Drosophila melanogaster: one gene and its partners. Changing the gene in region 4 together with the main gene of any one other region gives a genetic interaction. Each region holds a gene or a part of one and is shown on either strand. Other genes may lie near its edges. The genes, in order: ct, meru, insc and Galphai.

Region 1 (4,728 bases), on a different chromosome or scaffold from region 4:
GGGACTGCAAATTCCAGGGGTTTGCGGAAAAACACAAAATAACGGGAGGCTGAGAAGGGGCTTACTCTCCAATTTAATATTCCATGGATTTTTGAAGAGCCGAACAGAGACAGCCAGCCAAGGGACTTAAGTTAGGAATGCAATTTAAGGTGCATCATAAAGTGGCGGAAATTTGGAAAGGACAGATTGTTTCTAAATGTTACATTTACCTCTAAAAAAAAACATAAAAATTAAATTAAACAACAAAACATAGAATTGTTTGTTGCATTTAGCTTAATTTACACTTCGTATTTACTTTTTTATTTCCATCACTTTCTACTATTGTTTACTATGTTCGAACATTTGATGAATATAGCAGCTGCTTTTAATTCTAAGACTTATCTCGTGGAACTTTTAGTTCTTTAGTTCTTAACTTTAAAACTTATCAGTTTCAGAATAATACTTGAATTCCAGGTAAATCCCCCTAAAGCCAAAAAATATTACAACTTTCCGAAATATCCTCAATCTCAATCCCTCCGCCAGCGTCACAGTCGACGTTGCACTCAATCCTGCGCTCAATAAGCAACAACAACAAGCAGTAGTGGAGAGAGGCGAGCGCCTGGCTCTTTCGTTTCCAATAAGAAAAGCGATGTGCGAGCGGGAGGGCACTAGCCAAAGTGTCTGTGAATGAATGAATTTCAATACATGCAACTGACATGCGACGGCGCAGAAAAATGCTCAAAAATAAGAGTAAAAAAAAAAGCCGAGAAGGAAAGCGCAAAAAAAGTGAGAAAATCAAAAAGCTATTGAAAGAAATCAAAAGCAGTGCACGGGAATTGAGTGAGATTCTCTTGCGCGGAGCGTGAGAGAGCGAGCGAGAGAGTTGCGCTGCATGAGTGTGTTGTGTGTTTGTGGCGCCTCTGTCGCTGCCAACGCCGCTGTCGGCGCTCTCTGCGGCAGAGGGTTGTCGGCGCTTCGTTAACGTTCGATTTGTTCAGTCATCAACAGCATTCGTGACTGGCAACGTCGTTTCGTTCGTCCGTCGCCGAAAGAAATCGAGAATTTCAGAAGATTTTTGGATTCTACTGCCCCACAAGGCAGTGCAGCTTCTTCTTCTTAGCCGCGGCGCGGGTGTGTGTGCGTGTGTGCCCCTCTCTCTCACTGTGTGTGTACGTCGTGTGTGTGTGTGTGCAGAAGAATCCCCCCACCCACTTCATACAAAAAATTCATAAAAAAATAATTGCAAAAGAATGAATCTCGCTTGCCAAGAAGAAGAAACGTATTGATCATATTTATAAACAAAACAGCACACAGCCAAACAAATCAAAAAGGACTAAACGAACGTATAATATAACTGTTTATTATTTTTTTCAAGTGCATTTTTGTTCGCTAAAATATGTGCGCGTGTATGAGTGTCAAGTGTAAACAACAACAGCAACATCAAAAGCAACAACAGCGACAGCAAACATGTGCAAAATAAGCCACAGCCAAAAAGCAACAACATAATGATAATGGCTTGAAAAAATCACACACACAACAACAACAGGCAACAACCAAAACAACAACATCATACCCTCACCATTCAACAAACGACTACAACAAAATCCCCCACACAACAACAAGAAGAAACCCCCTTCCAAAAAAATCAAAAAAAATTCTTTTTCGGAACTAAAGTGAACAAAATATAAAACATAACATAACCATAATAATAATAATAATAACACACAGAAATTGGCTTATTTATGCATTTTTTTGAGCACGTAACAAGAAACATACTACTTAAGGTGTAAATGTGATGACTAAAAACGAAAACCGAATTAAATAACAACTAACTAACAAGTAAAATCGAAACGACAACAGAACAGAATAATGCCAGGCCTTATTAGCCCCAAATTGGTAGAATCCAAAAACTGAAAACCCCAAAAAAACCTAAGCAAAAACTGACTGAGAATTATTGAATTAACCCAAGAAAGCCCACGAATGCAGCCAACATTGCCACAAGCCGCTGGGACAGCCGATATGGATCTGACGGCTGTTCAATCAATCAACGATTGGTTTTTCAAAAAGGAGCAAATTTATTTATTGGCACAGTTTTGGCAACAGGTAAGAAAAGTTAGCAAAACGATGGAAAACGGTGCTTAAAAGCAAGAAGTTTCGTGTTTCAAGAATAATAATATGAATATAGTTCAATGAATTGGCCAAACAAGCTGAGATTACGGGTTCGTAAAATGTTCGGTGCAAAAGTGTTTTATCTTCTGTTCTCACTTTTATTCGCATTGACAAACAGTCTTACGTTTATATTACATGCAAGGTGTATCTTATTTTTGTCAACAAAAAGATGAAATTACACCTGTTATATGTAGCATAAAATTTGATACTTGCGTTTTCTAACTTTATATGAATGAAATGAATTCGATTCATACAGTATTGTGTATTCAAAGTGAAAAGTTTAGGGAGCGTAACGCGAAAAGCCCGAAAGCCTTTAAAACGTTATAAGCTAAAATTAGAACTTTCCATACATTGATTAGACTAAAAAGTCATATACAAATTTGCAATTATCATTGTAACTAAACAGTGAATAGTTCCCGAGTTCTGTGATATTCGTTGCATTTCACTGGAAACTCCCACAGCTGACAACAATAACCCTAGTGCGCCCAGCCGCCCACTTTAACCCCACACAGCCCCCATATTTTGGCCCCGCAAACTGCTTAACTTAACTTAAGTTAACTAATTGAGTTTGCGTGTCTATGGCAAATGTGTTTTTATTGTTGCTGGCCCGTTATTGTTGTCTAATTTCTTGTTGTAAATTTATTTATTTTTTCTGCTATTATTGATTTCTGAAAAAAAATTTGTTTGCACAAAACAAAAACAACAAATGCAAAGTGCAACAAGCAAGTAATAAGTGAACAGTTTATTGCTTGAATAACTTTTTTTTTTTTTGAAGCGTTTTTTTTTCTGTTTTCTACTACCAGTGAACCGAAAAAGATAAAGCCAGACAAGATCGGCCAGACGGAAGAGACAATTCAGATGGGGGTTTCGCTGTAAAAGGGGGCGTGGAAAATCGGGAGGCGGGGGCCAGACGATGCTGAGAATTTCGCTGGCCAAATGCCAGACTCCGAACAAATAAGGCGGCAAAATAACATTAGAGGCCAAAAAGGGGAAAAGAAAATCATCTGCCAGACCAGACATGGAAATATCAACTGCTGTATATATTTTTGAATATTTCTATATATAAAAATACTCTCTATATGGTTTGGCAAGTTAATTAGGTTGCGTCGACAGCCGGGCAAATTTTTTAATTGGAGTTTCTTCTTCGATTGATCGTGAAAAGCGAGAGACGCGCACAGTGAAAGACAGACATGGAAAAATTCCCGGAAAATCTAGACATTTGCCGTCGGTGAATGGCGTTTTTTCCCGCTCCACAAATATTTTTGTACAAGATATGGCGATGCAAACTGCAATCAATAAAACTTAAATAAGCAAAACCAAAAGCTATCCTATCGACTTTTTCCGGAGAACCACAACAAAGGCAAAAAGATGAGAAGCCGCAGAACTCGTTAGGATTACTTGAAGTCAGTGGTGTACACAGGATTTTATGAATGGGGCTTTGCTGATCTCAAATAGAACCGGTTTTTATTTAATTAAATGCATTTGCTTGTTATATTTAAATGTTAGATATGTACATAGTGATAGAGCATAGTGTTGGCGGCCTAAACGAAAACACAAAACCCCATCTAAAGGCGCCACTGTTTTGGGTTCTTTTTTCCTCTTTCCTAACGATCATTTAATGGCTTTCAAAAGCTTCAAGTCTTCTATAACTTTCAAGATCCCTCAACCAATGATCGATTGTGATCAATGAATCAATATTTGAAAGGTTTCGTCATGCCTTCGCATGCTGATCAACAAAACAAAATTAGAACTCGATCCATAAATACCATTTCTCTGCGGCAGAAAAAAAGGTTATTCAACATAACTAAATTTGCCAACCAAAAATAGAAGCTTATTAAATAAATTAAACAAACCGCAGACAGACGTCTACAGCTGTCCAAATGAGTTGATAAAACAATTTTTATAGTATTTCACTTATTTATTTATTTACATTTCAAGAACAGAGCGCGCGCGAAAAAATTGACACAAATCGAATTCGAAAAAGCAACAATAAAAATGTGCTTGATTAACACAAAGTTTTGTCATTAAATATATAGAACGGTGGCACCGAAAAAACGATCACAAAAAATTGAAAAAAAAAACAAGTGCAAGAACAAAAAGCAGAAGCCAAAGAAGAACCAAAAGTTAAAAAGAGCAAAATTAATTTCCGTAATGCAATCTATAAACTTGACCCATTAACATCGAACAGATTTTTTGTTTAGCTTCTACAATTACCGAAATCCGAAAAACCATAAACCGAAAACTAGATGAAAGATGAGGTTTTTGTCATTGATTTGTGCTGATTCAAACTAGAAAAAAAAAAGATGGAAATGGAAAGACAACAAAACCGAACTAATTGCCAAATGCATTTGCTGACTTAAAAAATATTAAAAAAAAAAAAATAGAAAAGTTGAATTGAAAAGATGAGAGTAAATCGAGTTTGGGTTCCGTTTTAATCGAATTGAAACCGGTTTATAGGGTAGTCACCACCACCATAGCACCATCACAGATGCAGATACGGATATAAAATACGAAATGCGGAATACCGGGGACGAGCATTGATAGTTTATAAAGTTTAATTTTCAAAGATGGCGTCCCGGC
Region 2 (7,925 bases), 8.9 Mb from region 4:
TCATTTTTCAATTCGAGAAGTTCGTGTTCAGTTTTAATAATGTCCTCGGCATAGGCTTCGATATTTTGTTGCAACTGCCCGACCGATAGCTCCATTTCCGGTCCCTTGTACCGTTCGTTCTGCAATCGGTACAGTCGGCACATTTCCGATAGCTGACGTGTTAGAGCGTGTTCCTTTTCATAGCGAACATTCATATCGGCATGAAGAGATGCCAACTTATATCGTACACTATTTCGCAAGGGCTTATCCTTTCGCCTCCTTATGCAGTTATTAACATTGTAGTTGTTGTTATTGCATTCGCTGGGAATCGCTGTTCTAAATGTTTCAACCGAGGCTTTGGTTATCTCGTGACGACTTCTTCTTCGATGACGCTGCTTGCTGACGCGATTCTCGGCCAGTTTATAAAGTTTGGATTTGGCAGTGTTTTCGGTACCCCTATACAGTTGGTCTGGCATTATAACCAGCACCAAGTCATTGGTCATCGTTTGCTTTTGGCCGTGCACTCTCTTCTCCTTTAATTTGTTCGGCACTTTTGGAGGCGTTTTTGTGGGTTTTGGTGGCGTCTTTTTACCCTTTTTCAGATGCAATAGCTTCTTGAGCCACTTGTACATCGAAAATCCCGTGGCTGATTGTGAATGGGGCACTAATTGCATGGCAAGGGGATCTCTGAAACTATCACGATGTTTTAAGGAGATGCGGAGCTGTAAAAAAACAGGAGAAATAATTATTTATTAATGAATTGAAGTTCGTTAAAAACTTAAAAGTTTATGACTTCTTGACCATGTTTTACTCCTCACTGTATATTGTTCTTATTTACGCCACAAATTGACTATTTTTTTATTTATACAAAACAAGGTAAAACTAAATATCCCACTTTATGATTATATTGTCATTAATACATCTCTAACAATAAAACTACCTTGGCGCTTGTTTTTAACCCTTTCCATCCATTAACTGGATAAGATCATCAAATAACAATTAGGAGTTCCTTTTCCTCGAATAACATTATTCCCATTGCTAATGGTTGGGGTCATAAAACATTTACAACATAATTAGACCAAAACGAAAACATGAACTTTGATATAAAAATCAATAAGCAAATTGATTTCACTCTGTGCGTCATAAACAAATAAATACGAAAAGCCAAAGCATAAGTCAAATGCGAGTGGTACTATATATGTACATATATATATACATATGTACATATATAATAGGCGCGGGTGTGACTTTGAAAGGGGGATATAGAGAACGTATGGAATGGGTTTTCGAGAACGACATGAATTTCTTGGCTTGCGTGTGGCGCCAGGAAAAAAGCGCTTATTATGCAATCACTGTAGACTTTTGGTTTTTTTTTTTGTGCTTTCGGGCCCCGTTCGCTGGTGTTTCTGTTTTATTTTGTTCCTTTTCTTTCTGCACGCCAGGTGGGATTCCCCTGGTCCACCGACCGTTGCCATTACCTCATTGTGTACACGGCTCCAAGCGCGCCAAACGGGCAAAATGGCCATGTTGCCATCATAGCACCGCTCTATTCCGCCCCAACTTTCCGTTATAATGTAATCGCTGTAGTCACGCGATGCTGCTGCCGTTTTCCTCTGGCCGCCATCTTGTTTTTCCAACGTGCGGAAAACGGGAAAATTGAATGAAACGGAACGAAACGCAAAATGAGAGAAAATAAAAGAAATTGTAAATAAGGAGCATAAATAAATAAAAAGCCAAATTGTGATGTATAAAAAAAAAAGTAGCAGTCACGACAGGATCGCCTGGGAATTATTATTATTAACCTACCTTTCGGATTATTGCCGCAGTAGAATCCATTGCCGTTTCGCAGTTCGTCATCAATCAGCGCCTTGATTATGTCATCGCACGTCGTCTTGTTCGTCACTCCGGATACGTAACGAGCCTCTCCGTCGTCCATCCAGATGGGTATTTCCTTGTGGCCTTGCTCCTGAAGGGTTGCCAGAAGAACAGAGGAGTATGTAGATCGATTAAGAGGATTGCCAGGTTTTTAGGAATGAGTTGTAAGATGGGGTATGGGTTTTAGAAGCAAGGGAAATTTTCAAAGAATTTCTTTATAGTAAGGTAATATAAATTTAAGGTAAACTCCTAAAGAATAATACTCATAATAATAGTCAATCAACTGTATTGAAATCTACCTGTACTAACTTTCTATATTGGATAGATATGAAAGTGCTCAAGGAATTATTTAGATTTGATTATATTTTGGTGGAAGCTCTATATATTTTCCTACTAAGCCAATATAATTAAATGGTAATATTGAGTTAAATCTCATTTTTATCTTATTTATTTATAAGCAAGTCCATTAAATGTTATCCTGTTCAATAAACGACTCCCTTTTGAGTTCTAAGCCCATTACCAGAACCATTAGATAATATCTAAAGAATTAAGTTAAGTCTCCTTTCGATTCTTACGAAAACGCAAGGTTGCAATCAATTTCTTGAGTAACAGACGCACTATCGAAGTTTCACACACGCTTATATGTAAGTATAACCCTATCCACATAAGCATATGACTACCGCCAGTGACTGCCCACCCAATTAGATGATTTGTTTTATTTCAGTGGAAATGCTGGCGCAACCGAAAATCAGGGGCGGGGACTGGAGTGGGGTGGTGAGTGGCCAAAGGAGCCGGAGGACCAGGAGCAGGAGGAGGAGGCACTTACCACAGTGCTATTAACGCCATAGAGGGAAATGGAACGGTGGCGACGACTGGCCTGGCCAGCGTTTCCGTTTTCCCTGCCGTGTTTATTTTTGCATGCTTGCCGATGTGGTGGTGCTGGTGCCATGGGTATGGCCAGAGGTATGGGTGGTGCTAATGGTGGCTCCCCCACCGATGGCGATTCATCCACCAAACGCTCCTCGAATGCAGCCTGCTTATTATTATTATTATTATTGTTGGTGTCTTGATTTTGACATCGTCGCGGCGGAAGAATGGGACTTTCGGGTAGATTCAATAGCGATGGACAGCTGTCCAGATTATCATCGATGAATGTGGAGTTCTGTTGTTGGGGCGCCATATTCCTTTGACCGCCTTTTGAAAAACCTCTCTGGCTAATTGGCACTGCAATGGAAAAGCGGTGGAAAAAATAGTTTAATACATATAGAGAACATGCAATATCCTTGTTAGACATTTTGTTGGTTCAGCTGGCTGTTCGTTCGCCTACGCCTAACGATCAATTTAGATTTGTTGCCCGCGATTAAATAAATTATGCAGTAGCCCTTTGCCGCACAACATGTGCACCTATATGGTACATATAGTACACATACATATGTATATGTATAGAGTTGCACCTCACCATAGACACACGACGCAAACCCATCTAGATTCCTAGAAAATTGCCTACCAACGTCAGTTGGCGCCGGTGGCCCATTATTCAGGAACATTGCCGGCGTTTAGGCTGTCGCACCATTCCCCCCCCATTCAATCCACCATTCGCCACTGCCACAAACCCAAGTGAAGCCATCGGAATCCTACGAGGCCTACTAGGACCCTATTCACCATTTCACGGCCCCTGTGGGCCCCCCACACATAATTTGTTGTTCGGGGGGCGTTGTACGAACATTGCAGTTTGTATGCAAATTCGCTTTTCCAGCCGAAAAACATTTTCCTTTCTGCTTCATTTTCTTTTTTTTTTTTTTTGGATTGCAATTGGTGGCCTGACTACTGACTTATGAATTAATGCTAATTTATGCCGCCGGAAAATGCAGCGAAGGAACTCAAATTATATAGATTGACGGCGGTTAGGGTGCTGAAATATTTTTGGCTAGCAATTTTCTAAAATATAAGTGCTGAAATTGCTTTGTTTTTACGGGAGATAGAATAGTCCTTGCAATGCAAAAGGTTAAAATATAAATTAAATATATACGATCATGTTATCCTGTTTAATTTTAGAATGAATGTTCCCAAATTCCATTCCAACTAATTCAATTACAATGAGTATTTAGATCTTTTATGATATCGAGATTAAAAGTTCCGAAATTCATTTTAACTGCTCACCAATTAATTTAATTTCAAAAATTATTTAAAGAACTACAACTAAGGTAAGCTCCCCAAGGAGCTTATTTGTGCTCAAAACTACAATTGAATCGGAATTTACAGAAGTTTTCAGAATTCCCTCATCAAATATTTATTTGCTCTCTGGACAGGTGCCGTTAGCGATGGGCCACGCCCCCGTTTCTATTAGAGAAATGAGTTATGAGTGAAGCAATTTGCAAAAGGATTTCCACCTGGGCCAATAGTCCTGCCACTAGATATCCTTGAACGGGGGCTGCCTTTGATTACGCTGGACATCTGGACATGTACAGTGTACATTTAAAAATGTAATTTCCAATCAAGATAAGTTCAAATGTAAATTTCCATTGGTGAGGTCAATTACTGAACTCTGACACGCCCTTTGCATTGCACTTAATTGTTTTGAGAGGGGGCTTGACTGCCTCCCCTCATAATACATTTATGAGAGGGCAGTTGGCCAAGTTGAGAAATACTTTTGACCCCCGAAAGTTCAATGTCTCTAAAGTTTAGCCAGCGATTGTGTCTCACTCTGGGCATTGTTTTTTTTTTATGTATTTTTAAGTCTTTAACAATTTTAGCCCGGCCCAAATTAATTGCTCCCCTGAAATCCTACTCGATTTTTTCGTTGCGTGTTGGATGGAAATTAATTTTGTTTTGGTACTGCGCATTGGATTCTAAAATGAAAGTAGAGGAACCAACGCTGTCGTGACGTTGGCAGTTCAATGGGGTTGGTACCGGTGGCGTATGAGTAATATAGCTATGGCTGTGATTTGATAATGTATTGTCCAAACTTGGATAAGAAAAAATTATTTTTGGCTTAGGGAAACTACTTTTCAATTAAATATGTAAACAGATTTGACTTTTATTTCAGTCGATCTGTTACTGGACATAGGAAGAATAGTATATATAGGGGTTTTAGGTTGTTTCTAAAGCTTAATGAAAACTCTTTCAATCGTTAAGATTGGCCTAGAAGTCTTAAATGAAAAAAAAACAAGTTAAATGGGGTATATATTATATATTATATATATATTATTATTATATATTATTGTATTATATTATATAATATATATATATATATATATATATATATATTATATATTATTATATATTATTATTATTTTATTAATACATTTTTTAGATCTTTTTTGGGGCTTTACTTTCCTACAACGTTTTTCGTTAATTCGAACAACTGATCTATATACATATAGATATACTGATCTGATACTGATATATACTGATCTATATCCATATACTCCTTATAAACCTAAGAACGCTCTACTTATTTTATTTTGTTCAAATTGTAATGGCTTAGAAATCGTTGTACAAAGCCGGTTTTTAAGTTTTGGCACCCGCAGAACCACAGAATAATAAAGTCAACTGTGAATTCTCCCAGTGCCAAGACTCAAAGTCAGCAAATTGAAGAGCTACAGCTCTGGATCGCTGGATCACCTGAGATCGCTTACCTTTAGATAGTTTCTCCAAATCTGGCAGTTGTCAGCACTTTTCAGGTTGATCCTTTTCGGCTTTTGGCCGTGTTTCTTCACTTTTTGGCAAGCTAGTGAGTAATTTGGTTCTGAAGATTGTATTTTTCAGTGGTCTTCACTGGTTCACACTGCAGCTGCAGCTGCAAGGACATGCTAATCCTTTGAGCTTTGACACTTGACTGAAGTTCAAATTTGAATTTGCGGCTATGTAAGGTGAGCTAGGCAGCGACGTCGACGTTGACTGCGCAGTTGGCAGCGCTGCCGCCTACCGGCCGGATAATAAACGAGTATATAAAAAGGTTTCTAGATCTAGACAGGTGCTAATGTTGCTGTCCCTGTCGCTAGCACTCGATTCGAGCCTGGCACTGAAAGCCTTTCGTTCCGAAGCGGCACAGGTCCTTGCTGCCCGAGGACTCGTGGTTGCCAGGAACAACGTTGCACAACAAATAACTGAACGGCGTATCCTTGACGACGGCAAGTGACTAACTAAAATTTTATTTGCTACCACACAAAACTTTAAAGCAAAAACGGTGCGAGCAGCTCGCAGGAACGCACACCGACACACCGACACACCTGGCGTTGCGGGAAGGGAAGGGGCAGGAAAGAAAGAGAGAGCGCCCGATCCGAGGGTAGGTTCCCTGCCCCTGCTGTCGTCATCATCATCGTCATCCTGCCACCGTCTTTTGGCCAACCACCAGCCACCACCGAAACTGAGTAAAAAAATATAATACGCTATATACGTCGGAGTGTTCCTACCAATTTCCACTAGCCCTAGCCTTCTAGAACTACTCTCTTTCGGCCAGGACCAATACCAATACCACTGTCATTACCATCTACCACTACCACTACCAACTACTACCACGACCACTCCCTTCGCTCTTTAATGCAGTTTGAGCCGTTCCATAAGCGAACTGTAGCGTGTGCTGCCCGCCAACAGCACCACCAACACCAGGAAACACCAGGAAACACTAGGAACCACCATCAGCACCAGCCAGAAATGCACTGGGAAAAATATTTGCTGTCATTGTGATCTTAACACTGCTCCTACTTCCTACCTACTATGATTTTCAGTAATATATTTTTTTGTGGGAACTGTTAAAAAGTTTTTATCGAAATACTTCAAGTTAACTTTCCTTTCTTTAGTGATTAATCCGCTTTTAGTCTATTGCATTCTTTCAGATACTTTTATTTTAATATTAAATGCGCATCTTAGTATTCTGATAATTTAAATTTAAATTTACATTCGCTTAAATATGACAATATTTTTAATACACACCATAAAAAAACCCCTTATTTACATATATTATTTCAAATAGATATAGATTTTATGAATGGGTTATGCTAATTACAATAAAGCAATGTTTTTTGCAGTGCACCAATGCCATGACGCGCACTTTGCGTTATTTGGTAAAACGAGATTGTTGATAACGTGCCACCAACAACAGCAGCAACAACAAACTATAAAAAACTCGCGGTACATAAAAAACGAATTTCTGCCTTGTTTTTATCCCCCCCAATCCATTTCGCCCACTCTTCGACCAGCCTATTTGCCACCCCCACTGTTTTTTCGCTGTGTATTTTATTGTTAATGGGTAGCATTTGCTTTTCGATTCAATTTTTTTTTCTGTATTCCTTTCGTTGTACATTTGTTGCTAACAGACTTTTTTCGGTCAGGATCAAAAAACTTAGGCTGGGAGTAAAAATATATGGAATCAAATTTGGGAGGGGTTAGCCCAATGCTATCTAAGAAGTAGTGCTAATGGTTCTAGCGACTGGCTTTTGTATCTCTATGAATGAGAAAGTAAAAGCCACGCTTGTGGAAATAGTTCGATAAGTAATCCTTTTATTGGAGATTATACTTTCATATAGATGTATTATTTTGATCGGTTTTTTCTTTGGTTTAATGTAATTATAAATGATATATATGTTACCCTTTGGCAAATGAAAGAACTGCATAATATTTATAATTGAATTACTTAGTTATGAGTTAAGATTATAATGTCAATGAAAATAGAGGTCTTCATAAGTCAAAATCCATACAAATTGCGAGACACAATATTTCTTCGAAATGCATTACACTCAATCCGATCGATCTTCGAATGAACTTGGTGTATATTTACCTTGGTTCCAACTGCTTTGCTTAGCCACCCAATAATTTCCATTCGACTCATTAGGATTGGGCAATACAAATATTCAATAATGTTCAAGCTCATTAGGAATCGATTGAATACAAGCTGAAATTATACCACCTCTAGCGAAGTTGATGGCAGGTGCCAACTTATCTGTGTAATATGACAAATTGCCCCACCTTGCAAGTCACTACAACTTTGCTTCGTAATGCTCAGGCAATTGCATTCGAATGGGGTTGGTTAGGGGTGGAGTGGTTAGGCCCAAAACCCTGAAAGGGGGGAA
Region 3 (4,902 bases), on a different chromosome or scaffold from region 4:
TTTTTTTTAGCTGCACTCGACTCGGGGATCTGCGTTTTTGGGCTCTAGGAGCTAGGAGCTGGGATCTGGTAACTGGGAGCTGGAAAACTGGGTACTGGGTACTGGGAACTGGGACCTGGGCGCACGTCCGCACACTTGGCACATTTGTCAGGGCGACGCCGCGATGTAAACATCTTGCACGTAGGATCCGGGGTCCTTTTGCATCCTGGCTGGATGGCACGACAACTAGTTGTAGTTGGAATCGGAGTCCTCGTGCTGCACGGGGTCTTTGAACTGACAAATTACATTGACAACGAATGGGGCGAAATTCCATTCGTGTGCACTCTGAACTCCAACTCCTCTAGCTCCCCAGAACTGTCTCATTTTGTGAGGCTCCACACTGAAAAGTTTGGGGGTCAATGCCATGGCATTTCATATAAACAAAAAGTTAGGCATAACTGTCAGCAAGCAAATAAAATAAACAAATGTCAATAAATGACAATTGATTGTGCTTTTCAAAGTTTTCGGCCCAAACCATTATTAGTCAAATCAGATTGTCTATTTAGTTTACATTGTGTTAATGATTTAAAACTCTCGGTTTGGACACGATTTATTTGTATAGCCATTTGAAAATGGCATTTATTGTCATTTTTTTTTTTTATTGCTACGCGTTGTTAAAATTTCTTGAAAGGTGTCAATAGCAAACAGATGTTAAACGAGATACAGTATTGAATATTGGTTTTATTCTATGAATTTCGATCCTTCATAAGCGAAACATTGTTTTCATTTGTTAGTTTCAGTGCACTTTGTTCATTAGTTGTTTGTGGATTTAATTTGCTTACTTGGCTCTGTGCTTTTGCTTATTGTTTCAGTTAGTTTCGCAATTTGGAAACTATCTCAAATTGGCAATAGTGAAAAGAGCAAACACATCGTGGGCTCCTCTTAATTATTTTCACCGACGAACGGGTGGGCGATCGAACTCTTATGGCTGTAATAATTGGTGCAAAATTGTTCAATTGCCTAATTGCTGTCGATTGCTCATAATTTTTAGTGTAACACTGTGTATTTGTGGCACATTTTCGTTTTATGGCCACGAGCGTTCATGAATGAATGGGCTTTATTTACAGGGCATTTAAAAGTTTCGGGTAATCTTATCACCCAGAAGTGTTCAAACTTGCGCAAGTCATCAAACAAATTTCGAAACGGAAATACCAAAGGGTTGAAATAGTCTAAACGAAAAGATAACTGCCTTAAAATTGCGCCCAAAATTCGCACAAAATCGCAGTAACAATAACAAGCGAACCTAATCAAAAATCCAAAATCTCAGGCAGCTGCGCATGCGTAGCAGATGAAAGAGATAGCGAGAGATCGCACCTTTGAAAATGCTACCGGAACAGCTGGCGCAGAAGAGCGAGAGGGAAGACAGGAGTGAGTGATAAGAAATAGCAACAAAAGCGCATAAACCACCACCAACTACTACAACAACGAACGCGACAAAGCGAACAATGCTCTTCATTATGCCCGTTATTATTAAACAAATAGGGAGAGCGAAAGAGAGAAAGGTGAGAGCGCACCATGTTGATAACACACCCCGTGTAGCTAAAAGTTAGCCAGATTCACAATTAAAGGAGCTAGAAATGCTGATATATGCTCAATTTGATTTATGATCACCTATAAAAACTTGATACTGATAATAGCAGCTAATAATACTTTAATTTTCAGTACCTTAAGACACATAATTCAAAGTATGCACTCAATTAAAACATTGTATTAGATATCCTTAGCTAGAAAGTAGTCAAGCTGCCAGCACTGCCTACCTTACTCACCCAGGTAATTTGACTCCGACTCTCCGGCTTACTGCTCTCCCACCCCGGGAATTAGAAGTCTGAGTCGAAGTCGCCAACTGTAGCCGCTCATTCGATTCCCAGCAGTCGAAGCACGCAGACGCAACCGCTGCGATCGTCGCGAGATATTTGTGTTCGATCATTGTTTTCGTATCGTTCGGGTTAACCACGTTCGTTGAGTGTCGTGTCGACTTGTGTTTACCGTTGTGCAGTGTTAAACTATTTACGCTTTGTCTTGTGGGTGCAGCACCCCCACCACCCAGCCACCCACTACACATACGCACTGTCAAGTTTTGTGGTGCCCAAAAGTAATCAAATGACACGTGCTTGAAATACACATTTTACTATCCATCAGTGGCGGCCGAAACAACAACAAAAGCATAAGCCAAACTTGGGATTACCTCGGCATTGTTTATACAGGAAAGCGGTAAGTTTTGGCCACAATAAACCGTAAAGCACATTCGGAATGCTTTGACCCCAATAAGCTTAACAATAAACACAAATATTCAATACGATTCCGCATACGCCCCTCGTAATTACACATGCCTTAATTCACATAATCACAAACTACAGACATATGTATATATTTATGTACCTCCGCCCATTTATTGAAGTAAATTCCGATGGTTTTTATTTTTGCTCATTCGAGGACCTCGCTAAGCCGCGTTTTATGACTCAGGAGCCTCACAAAGTCAAAGTCGTCAGACCGCAAACTGATTTCGTTCGCTTTTCTCCGAATGTTCTTTATAACGTAGATCCCACAAATGAGTCATCCGTGCGCTTGGGGATACCGGAGTGGATACATAACTGCCTGAGATACGTATGTATCGTATAATTGGGGGAGGCAGTGGGCTAAGGTGACTGATCAGGTTGATGGGGAATGAATGAGCTGGGGGTGCTGGTGACTAAGCCCCCAGCATTGGATAACGCTAATTGGGTTGGGTAAAGAAATGTGTGCACACAGATGTGATAGTCTGCTGGCTAGGAAAGAGTCACCTCTAAGGCAGTTGTGAATGGGTTACATTGAATAACATTCCAGTCAGTCCTCAAAAATATCCAGTTATGTAGCTTGAAATAAAAAACATTTCTAAAAGAAGATTTTTAAGTTTCTTTGAATGTTTTGGTTGGTCTCTTACATTTTAATCAGCTTATGCATTTGAAGAAGTTGGCTTTCGCCACCTCGAATACTTGTTATCTCGACTCATCTGGAAACCTCAGAATATATCAGTGGCACGATTTCAATCTCACCGCATTGTGGTGTTTCGCAGATTTCCCTAATTTCAGTTTGCCCGCGCCTAATTGCAATAATCAAGGGAGCACCGCATAATCTCACTGATCTAGTTCCAGTTTAAGAGCGTTTCTGCGGTCTCGATGGCTCCATTAGAGTGCTAAACACCGGCCATTACGGCGGTCATCAGGAGAGGTGTTATTACCTGGACGTCTGGACGTGGAAACCAGTCGGCACTGGAAGTCACTCACCTGTTGCGGCCAAGAGATCGATATCATTGACAATTGGTGTCGACGGTAGCAGCAGTGGTATATAATGCCAGTTCGATATGTTGCTACCGTTAGATGGGAAATGCCAAAGCAATGATGATTGTCCATTTGAGTGGGATTAACGTTTAATTTGGCTTAGTTTATTGATTTTCCATCGAACAGGTCGGTTAAATGTCAGGGAATGTCGCGAAATGGAACATTTCGTCGATTGCATTTGCTAAACCATTTGCAACTCTTTGTTTTTTGCTCACTCATGTGTCAGTTTGACATTTTGCAACAATGGTCGATTCTATTGAACGGATTATGGCTGCCGCGACTTGAATAATTGCACGGTTTTAATGCGTTCATTCAGTTTTTTACATAATTAAATGATTGTTTAAAACTGATTTATTATTTAATTGTTTGCCACTCGAACGACAACAATTAATTATGCAATGGCGCAAAGATGCGATATAAATAAATAATAATTTCATTATAATCAATGCAACAGCTGCCAGTGGGCGCAAGTGATGCGCGGAAGGGGCGTGGCAAGCAATTAAAATTTATTACTCTTATTTTGCATTTATTCCATTTTAATTTGTCGTTTAAATGTCAAAACTATTAAAATAATTATGCTGGATGCCGGATTAATCAATGCTCTGGCCTTTGTCCAATCGATTTTGATCTGGTTGGGCCGTAACTTTTGGTTAATTAATCGGGGTTACGAGCGGGGAAATTTACCCCATCCACCCCATTCAACTTTCCCCCATTTCACCTTGTGTCCAATTTGTGCGGCTGACCCCAATGAGCCAAGTTCAGTTAACACTTAACCACCCCGCATATTAACTTAATTATCATGATTAACATTTTCTGTGTAATTTCTGTATTTTCGCTGGCCGTTCTCAGTTGAATTTTGCGATGCAATTCCCATTATTCGTACCTTTTAAACTGACCAGAACTTAAATTTGTTATTCAACACGCTTCCCTCGCTTTTTTTCTGTTTTTTTTTTTCTTGATTTGTTTATTATGAAATGCTTTCGATAACGAACCATTATCATATCTTCATGCGATATGGCAAAGAGTTCCGTTGATTTCTTTCTGTTTTCGCAGATTGAAGTGCATAAATTATTTTGTCTCTATTTTTAAATTAATTGGCAGATTGTCGCAGACTTTAGAATTCTATTTGGTCGCAAACTTGTTTGGCGACAACTCTATTAGGCATTTGCATATGAATTTCGACTGCCTTTTGTGCCTAATTAGCCGGCAAAAGTACAACGAACTTCGAAAATTGTCTTATTTTCTTAGTCACGAATTTAATGTACAATACATCAATTTCTACACTATGCAACACACCCAATTAAGTGCAATTTGTGACTTTGTGAGCCTCATTAACTCATCGCATCTCAGCTCAGCTATTTCTCCTCGTGGAAACCGGATTGTTAGCTAAACATTTTTTACATTACTTTGCCTTTGCCTACTAATGAGCAGAATTACTCATGACTGGCCCATGTAGATATAAATATCGATTGAGGGGCTGTTTTTCAATCAATTTAAACGGCGTGCCGTGGCAGGGGGAGGTGGTAATGAGACAAACGAACCACAG
Region 4 (7,601 bases):
ACAACAACAACAAGAGCAGCAATGTGGCAGCGTGCGCCGCATTTGCAGGCAGTAAGTGCGACAGAGATGGAATGAGAGCGACCACCCACAGTGCAGCATCACTGTATTTCTCTCTCGCTCGCACGCGCAGCGAAAACCGCATAAATCCATATTTCTCTAGCTTGTGCTTTTTACGATAAATTACAGAGGTTGCAGGGTGTTCGGTAGCGCACAAATGATCATTCATTCACAAGACAGCAGATACCCCCGCATGCCCCCTAATTCCTCACCGTCCCTCTCCCCGCCACTCCTACGCCCCTCTGCAAATGCCGCACTTTTCGTGTAAACATGTGTAAATCATGACCCGTTGATGGCCTTTATATTCATGGTAGAGCAAGAGGAGGGGTGGTGGATGTAGGGGGGTGGGGGTGTTTCTTGAGGAGGGGAGGGGGATGGTGGCCACATGTGACGTCCTCCGGCGGCGGCAAAACTTTTGCACTGCGACCCCATCCTCATCCTCATTCTCATTCTCATCTTTATCCGCATCCTCGTCTTCCTGCCTTCGCATCGCTTTGTTTAGATAAATTAGCTGCGGAAAGACCAGCCCCCCCCCCCCCCCCCCGTCACGTTCCATACCACAAAATTCACAAAATAGTTTCTTTTAATATCATCGATTTGGAAAAAAACAGAGGAGCTTCTATAAGTGGAATTATGCTAATGAAATTTTGAAATATTAATATTATTGCATTAATAAAGTTATTATTAATTATATGATCATTGCATATGCATGATTCTCTAAAAATAAGTTTAAAAAAAATGAAATTAAATATTACTAAAAATATAAGCTCAATAAAATATAAGCTCAGTTTAAATAAAAAGATTAACAGTGCAAACGAAAGTAATTTCTTTAGTTCTCATATGTTTTGTTATTTAAGAATTGACGTATTTATGTTATTTTTTAAAAAGTTCTGTTCTTCGAATTGACTTTAAATGATTCTAAATATTGTCAGTTTGTTAGAAAGGAGCTCCACTGTACCTGCGTCGCATGCAACTGCAGACATTTGGGATTCAAATCGAGAATGGAATGGAATTGTCCCAAAATAAAGGCAAATATTATTTATGCCAGGGCCCTGAGAACTTTTTCTCCAACGGCCTGCGTGCACATTGCATTGGTGTTGATGAGGGGGGAGTGGCGGGGCATGCATTTCAGAACAACATCATATTTTCGGCTATGTTTATTTACACTTAAAGCGCTATAACAACAAACTGAAATGCAAAGGGCAAGTTGGGCATAATGCATGTATGGCTCACGACTGAACAGCGGAAACAGGATCATATGAGTGGCATTCAAGCATAAAGTTTACAAAGTTGCGATAATTAAAATGCGTGTATATCAATTAAATTAATTTGAAATTTACCGCCCAAAAGTGACGTCACAGTTGCCTACAAGAAGATGCTAGCCAAGTCACACACCCCGCGAGTACTGCCAGACTGCAGCTAGCAGAGTACCACACCCGGCAGCGTTGCCACACAAACGATCGTGTGCAATGCACTAACGCCAGTGAGCAAGCGATCTGTGAACTTCGGCAAACAGTCACACCAATCCGACGCGAAGTGAATCATATTGCGCACAGCAAAATCAGCGGATAAGCAAATTAAAGCGACAAAAGAATATTAAATCGGCTCTGCCGCTGCAGCAAGAAGCGTGAAAACAGCAATGCAATCGGGCTAATCTCCAAAAAAAACCCAAAAACGTTTCAAGCCAGTGTGTGTGCGTGTGTTTGTGTGTGTGTGCTTGCGTGCGCTGCGCATGTGTGGTGTGTTTGTGTGAAAAGGAAGAGAGGTGGAAACGCACACAAAAAACGAAAAGAAAAAAAGTGTACAGCCGACGACGCGCAGACGCATCTCGAAATTGTTGGAAAAATCGCGTGTGAGAAGAGTGCGCGAAGTGAGAAAGGAGCAACAAATCGCTAAAGACATATTTCGAAGATGGGTTGTGCCGTGAGTACAGCACGCGATAAGGAGGCCATCGAGCGGTCGAAGAACATCGATCGCGCCCTGCGGGCGGAGGGCGAGCGGGCCGCCTCGGAGGTGAAACTGCTGCTGCTGGGTGCGTTCGCCTTCCATTTCACCTTTTCACCTCTCTAGCATTATTCCGGTATTTCCCCCCTTTGCGAATTCTTTGCTGAAATTCGCGTTGTGACCTCATTTTTTTTTCCATTCGCTCGCTTTGCTTGGGCGGGGTGGGTATCCGCTGGGTGCCGTTGCTTTGCGCTTTCGGCTGTGGTGAGTTGGGGCAAGGATTTTTGCCGGCTTTTCCAGTGCGAAAGGGTCTGGAAAAGGCTGGAAGGCATGGGATGAAACAATACAGTAGAGTTACAGTATAACGAATTAGTAAGACTAAAATTAGAAAAATGTAATTTATTTGTTTTTAAGATCACTCGTTATTATAAGACCATGTTATTCTAGCTAACAGTTTAACATAAAAGTCTAAAGTCCCCAACTATCCCATATTTCGACTATAAATATGCATGGAATGGAGTAAGTAGACTCCATGCAGCTCTGTTTATCTGGGAAAACCAATGTTTATGTGGCTGCTTGGGGCTAAACAAATCCGTCTGTTCGTAGATCGTGCATTATGCAATGTCTGTGTCCAATAATTCGTTGGCGATAAGGGAATTGAACGTAAATTGAAACCAAATGTCGGTTTGACTGTGCGGATACACTCGATTCTAGATTCTCGGTACTCAGTGCTCGTTTCTCATCTGCTGGCACGCACTTTTCAGATCTTTTGGATCGATGCAACAAGTGGATCGAATCGGATCCCATTGCCGCAATGGAAACATGTTTGTTGATAGCGCAGCGGTTTCCACTTTGCAGGAAAAACCATTCAAGCGACGAGGCGCCATCGTATCGCATATACAAACATACATGCATACATACATACATACATATATGATGTATGTATGGTTTTTGGTGACCCGACCTCTGCGGCAAATGCAGTGAAACTGAATGCCTCGCTGCGTTGCAACCTTCTGCAATTAAATTTCCACTCGCCGATTTATATGCACGGCATATGGGAACGATGATATATTTCACCGTCTGCGTGTGTACTTTTCATTTCATTGCCATTCATTTGCGAAAAACAATGCCGTGGAAGTTTTCCTCCAGCGCGGCTGATTGGCCAATGAATCGGGCCAAGATGACTAAGGCAACGAGTGGTAGGCTGGAAAGTACAGCAAAGACTGGCTATGCAACCTACACCTTTATTAAGTGAACTGATATATAGGGTTTACTGTACTAAATTAATTCATAATGTCAAATGTTATCATTTCAAAAGGATTTTTCTAAAAAAAAAAATGATGCACATTAGTAAATGATTTTTTTGGAACCTAGAACATAGTGTAGTTTTCATTTACACTGTAAAACATTTATCGAGCTTATCAGCAGCCACCGCACCTTGCACTATATTTGTTTGTGAGTAACCACTGTATTTGCAGGCTTAAAGATAATAAGGAAAACTGTTTGCCTCAATGAAAAACCTCGTAAACCGGTTTGGAAAATGCCCGCTAAAAGGTGCAGGAAAATTCTACCATTTTCATCCCCATTAAAAGATATCCCCTATTATCATTCAGTATCCCAGCTGTTTTCGTCCAAACCCCCGGTTGACCAGTGTAAATGCTTCTGGTTTACATAGCCAAGAAAACAGCTTGCACCAGTTGCATTTTGAAATTTAGCCCAACATTTTACACTTGATTCAATTGTTTGCACCTTGTGGGGCGTGTGTTCTGTAATTTCTGGATCATGATGAAAACCGATCTCTGATCTCCGATCTCCGAGCTGCTGCAGCTTTCCTCCGACTTCCAGCTGAGTAATTGGCTGTTTTTGTTGCTGCTTCGTTGTTTGTTCGCTGACATTTCAAGTGGGGTGAACGATATTAGCGCAAATAAATGGGCCCGCCATCAAATGCAACTGTCGCGGCTACACGGAAAGAAAAAGAAGAATGTACTAGTTTGCTAAAAAAAATATCTTTAAAAAATATAGTTTTCAAATTATGCAGTAAAGACATTGCTTATAATTTAGTATAAATATATATATTATTCATTGAATTTATTGGTAATTTCTACCAGTGTACAGCGACTACTTACTTGAATTGGAATCGGAATTGGCAGCCCCCAACGCTGCGCTTATTGAGTAGATTTAATAAAGCTGCTCAGCTGACACTCAATTTATATTACACTCTGCTGCCTCTCCCCTTTTCCTTACCCCCCCCCCTTTCCGCAAGCCTTTCAATTGAAAAGCACAACTTTTTCAACCGTTTTTCAACCAAACATATTGTGCTTAAGGGCAAAGATAGTGAATTACTGCATTATTTTGATGATATTTGCAAGGAAAGAGCAGCAAACCGAAGAGAGAAAACGAATTCCAATGGGGGGGGCATGAGTAAGAACTCGGATATCTGTAAAAAAAAAAAAAAAAAAAAAAATATGAAAAAAATGGGAAGAAAATAATATATAAACAAAATAGTGTCATGCTGCTGGCGCACCAATATCAAAATCGGCACTCAGACTGTCAACACACAGCAACTTAATAATCTACAATTATTTAAGAACTCGCTTACCAACACATTTAAACTGAAAGTATCATTGGGCTTATCAAAATTATCGCCAAGCGAGCGACCTTATACATATGTACGTCAATATACTATATGTGGTTAAATAATTGATGTACATATGTATGTACATCACATATAGGAAATTTCATGATAATCGAGAGATCTGCGTGAAAGTCACTACTAGGTGGGGGGCTTCCGTTTTGGGGCCGCATTTCATCTGATTTAATTGTTTACTTTTTCGGTGGGTCCGCTCAATTTCACACTCCCCGCTGATTAACACATTTCCCACTTCGATAACTGAGGCCAGGCGCCATTTAACTTGATTACTCATGGCGCAAACACTTTCTTACGATTCTCCTCCTCTTGCTGTCTACAGCTATTGTTCTTTCTTCTCCCCTCTTTTTTAAATCATCGCATGGCGTAGCCTTAGTCACCCTGTTTCCAATGAATATTCTAATTTCGATAAGTAATTATCTAACGAATTGGTTGGTGCAGTAAAAACTGCATGTCTTCCTTAAATTTCCTATCTAGCTAAATAGTGATTTTTTAATCATTTATGACAAATTGAACAAATATTTGAATGTTGTTTACAATTTCAAATTCTAATAAATATAATAAAAAGTTTTTTTAGCAACTTCTAACAACTATAAAATATATCAATAGAAGCTAGAATTCCTGCATTCCCCGCCGATTCTTTTTTCGCCGATATTCACTGTTTAATGATGTTAATTATAATACCGTTTGGTTGTGGCCATCGCGATGATAATGAGCTTGTAAACGCGGCTTTGTGCGTATCGCCGTTGTTCTGAGCCCGTCTCGCTCCAGCCCTATTGTTGGCCTCTCGCTCGCACCCGCAGTCGGCCGGGCGCGTGTTATGGCACAGCTAACGGTGCATTGATAAATGAAGGCCCAGCCACACCAACACACACGCACACACTCTTTCGCATTTTGTTAGTAGTGTTATTATTAAATTGACCTTTTTCCAGCCGCTCATTTGTGGATTGCTTTGTTCGCTACTTTTTTCCACACGGTGGCAAGTTTGAACATCGCCTTATGTCCATATTCGTATTCAAATCTGTCAATTTCATCATTATGCGGCGACCGTTGTTTGCCCATTATCAGCATTCAGCAGGCGTCTCTTTCGCTCCAACACTTTTTGGTGGCAAAATTAGTTAGCATTGTTCGGAATTGGTTAAAATTGAAGTCTTAACAATAACTCAAAAAAATTTATAAAACAAATTTAATGTAATATATATTGACAGTGAATGTAACAGTGGCCATTTAGTGTAATATATATTAACAGTAGGTGTAACAGTGGCCAGCACATTACAATTAGAGTGGACCCTATTCTAACACATTATGGTACCTAAAACTATAGGCTGAATTTCTTAATCTTCATAAATGTACGTAACATATGTATTAAACTTACCAATCTTCATTGAATGAGCACCATCCGCCCCAAGGGAACTTCAACCATGGCTGATTGATATACGTACGAATAGTAAAAACAATTAAAGTTTCAGTGCAAGTATCGAAGCCCTGAAAGTTGAGAAAAGTGAAAGTAAAGTCGCAGTTTTGGCTTTGGCAATTACCTAATCATCCGGTGGCTGGGAATGGACCCAACTACCAACTGCAGCAAAAAGTCGGCTTAATGCGCCATTGTTGCAATGCCCCAACATCGTGTATATATGTTTATATATAGCTATAGATATTCGAAATTACTTGGACCGGCAGATTTGCCAATTTTTGTATTTGCCCATTTGCTCTGCGATTTCAACTTCTTTAGTTTTCAGCGAAAAGGGAAACTGGCGAGCACGTAATGCGATTATGTTTCATATTTTTTTTTTTATCATTCGACGCAGCAGATAATATACATAGTACTACATATATAATAAACTGCCCAGACGAGCCCGTGTGTTTGTTGTTTATCAACGCTGACGGGTCAGGTCTCATTTAACAATTGAAGGCACTCGGCGAATAAAATTATGCCCAGTTAATTTTCTCCGCAATTTCCAACGCCTTTGATAACTAATGGGTGGGTGGTTCAACGAACTCCAGGGCTCGGCCATGCAAGTTAATAAATTATAATAAATTACAGAGTAGTACGCTTAGAAAATGCATATATCTATTTGGATTATCTTTAGCATGATGATGTGCATATAACTTGATCTGTTATCACAATATTATTGACCCTTATTTGGTGTTCATTTGATTCGTATTGAAATCCGACATGCTATATTAAATGACCATATACACGATGTTCATTCATTTCTCAACTAGACCAGCGCAATTAAGCGTGACCTCTTGAGTCGCGCAATTGAGCAACTTTTCTCGATCGTCTCATTCATAAATTCCACTTCCGTTCCCCTTGGCAAACTTAAAAGCCCCTTCCCGAAACCGAACTCATCGATTCATTCATTCAGTTTTACGCCCTGAACTTGGTGCATACAAATATTGAGCTCACACTTCCTTGGAATGATTCTTTATAAACTTTGATAGTACACCTTAACTAATAAACTCTGTTGAATTTCTTTTGTAGGAGCCGGAGAGTCGGGCAAGTCAACGATTGTGAAACAGATGAAGATCATCCATGACACGGGCTACTCGCAGGAGGAATGCGAGGAGTATCGTCGCGTCGTCTTCAGCAACACGGTGCAGAGTCTAATGGTGATCATCCGCGCAATGGGACGCCTGAAGATCGAGTTTGCCGATCCGAGCCGAACGGACATTGCCCGCCAGTTCTTCACACACGCCTCTGCCGCCGACGAGGGCATCCTGCTGCCCGAGATCGTGCTCCTGATGAAGAAACTCTGGGCAGACGGTGGCGTACAGCAGAGCTTCGCCCGATCGCGCGAATATCAGTTGAATGACTCGGCGGGATACTATCTAAATTCGCTGGATAGGATCGCGCAACCGAACTACATACCCACGCAGCAGGATGTGCTACGCACGCGGGTGAAGACCACTGGCATCATCGAGACACACTTCTCCTGCAAGCAGCTGCACT

Evidence for each region.
Region 1: of Galphai (region 4) and ct, changing one suppresses a phenotype caused by changing the other (phenotypic suppression), as found in Drosophila melanogaster (one study listed by BioGRID).
Region 2: of Galphai (region 4) and meru, changing one enhances a phenotype caused by changing the other (phenotypic enhancement), as found in Drosophila melanogaster (one study listed by BioGRID).
Region 3: of Galphai (region 4) and insc, changing one enhances a phenotype caused by changing the other (phenotypic enhancement), as found in Drosophila melanogaster (one study listed by BioGRID).

What each region holds. Positions count from the first base shown.
Region 1 is NC_004354.4:7,607,457-7,612,184, forward strand, and holds the start of ct (cut), read left to right. Parts: upstream 1-1,691; 5' UTR 1,692-1,959; coding exon 1,960-2,082; intron 2,083-4,728. UniProt on the Drosophila melanogaster protein: Regulator of cell fate decisions in multiple lineages. Specifically, functions as a determination factor that specifies sensory organ identity in precursor cells. Probably also involved in cell type specification of Malpighian tubules.
Region 2 is NT_037436.4:15,838,052-15,845,976, forward strand, and holds the start of meru (meru), read right to left. Parts: upstream 6,012-7,925; 5' UTR 5,493-6,011; intron 5,445-5,492; exon of another isoform or gene 5,355-5,444; intron 3,079-5,354; 5' UTR 3,035-3,078; coding exon 2,681-3,034; intron 1,946-2,680; coding exon 1,786-1,945; intron 1,604-1,785; coding exon 1,458-1,603; intron 702-1,457; coding exon 1-701.
Region 3 is NT_033778.4:20,833,018-20,837,919, reverse strand, and holds the start of insc (inscuteable), read left to right. Parts: upstream 1-1,891; 5' UTR 1,892-2,250; intron 2,251-4,902.
Region 4 is NT_037436.4:6,974,006-6,981,606, reverse strand, and holds the start of Galphai (G protein alpha subunit i), read left to right. Parts: upstream 1-1,562; 5' UTR 1,563-1,968; coding exon 1,969-2,089; intron 2,090-2,384; exon of another isoform or gene 2,385-3,960; intron 3,961-4,127; exon of another isoform or gene 4,128-4,438; intron 4,439-4,600; exon of another isoform or gene 4,601-5,285; intron 5,286-7,133; coding exon 7,134-7,601. UniProt on the Drosophila melanogaster protein: Guanine nucleotide-binding proteins (G proteins) are involved as modulators or transducers in various transmembrane signaling systems.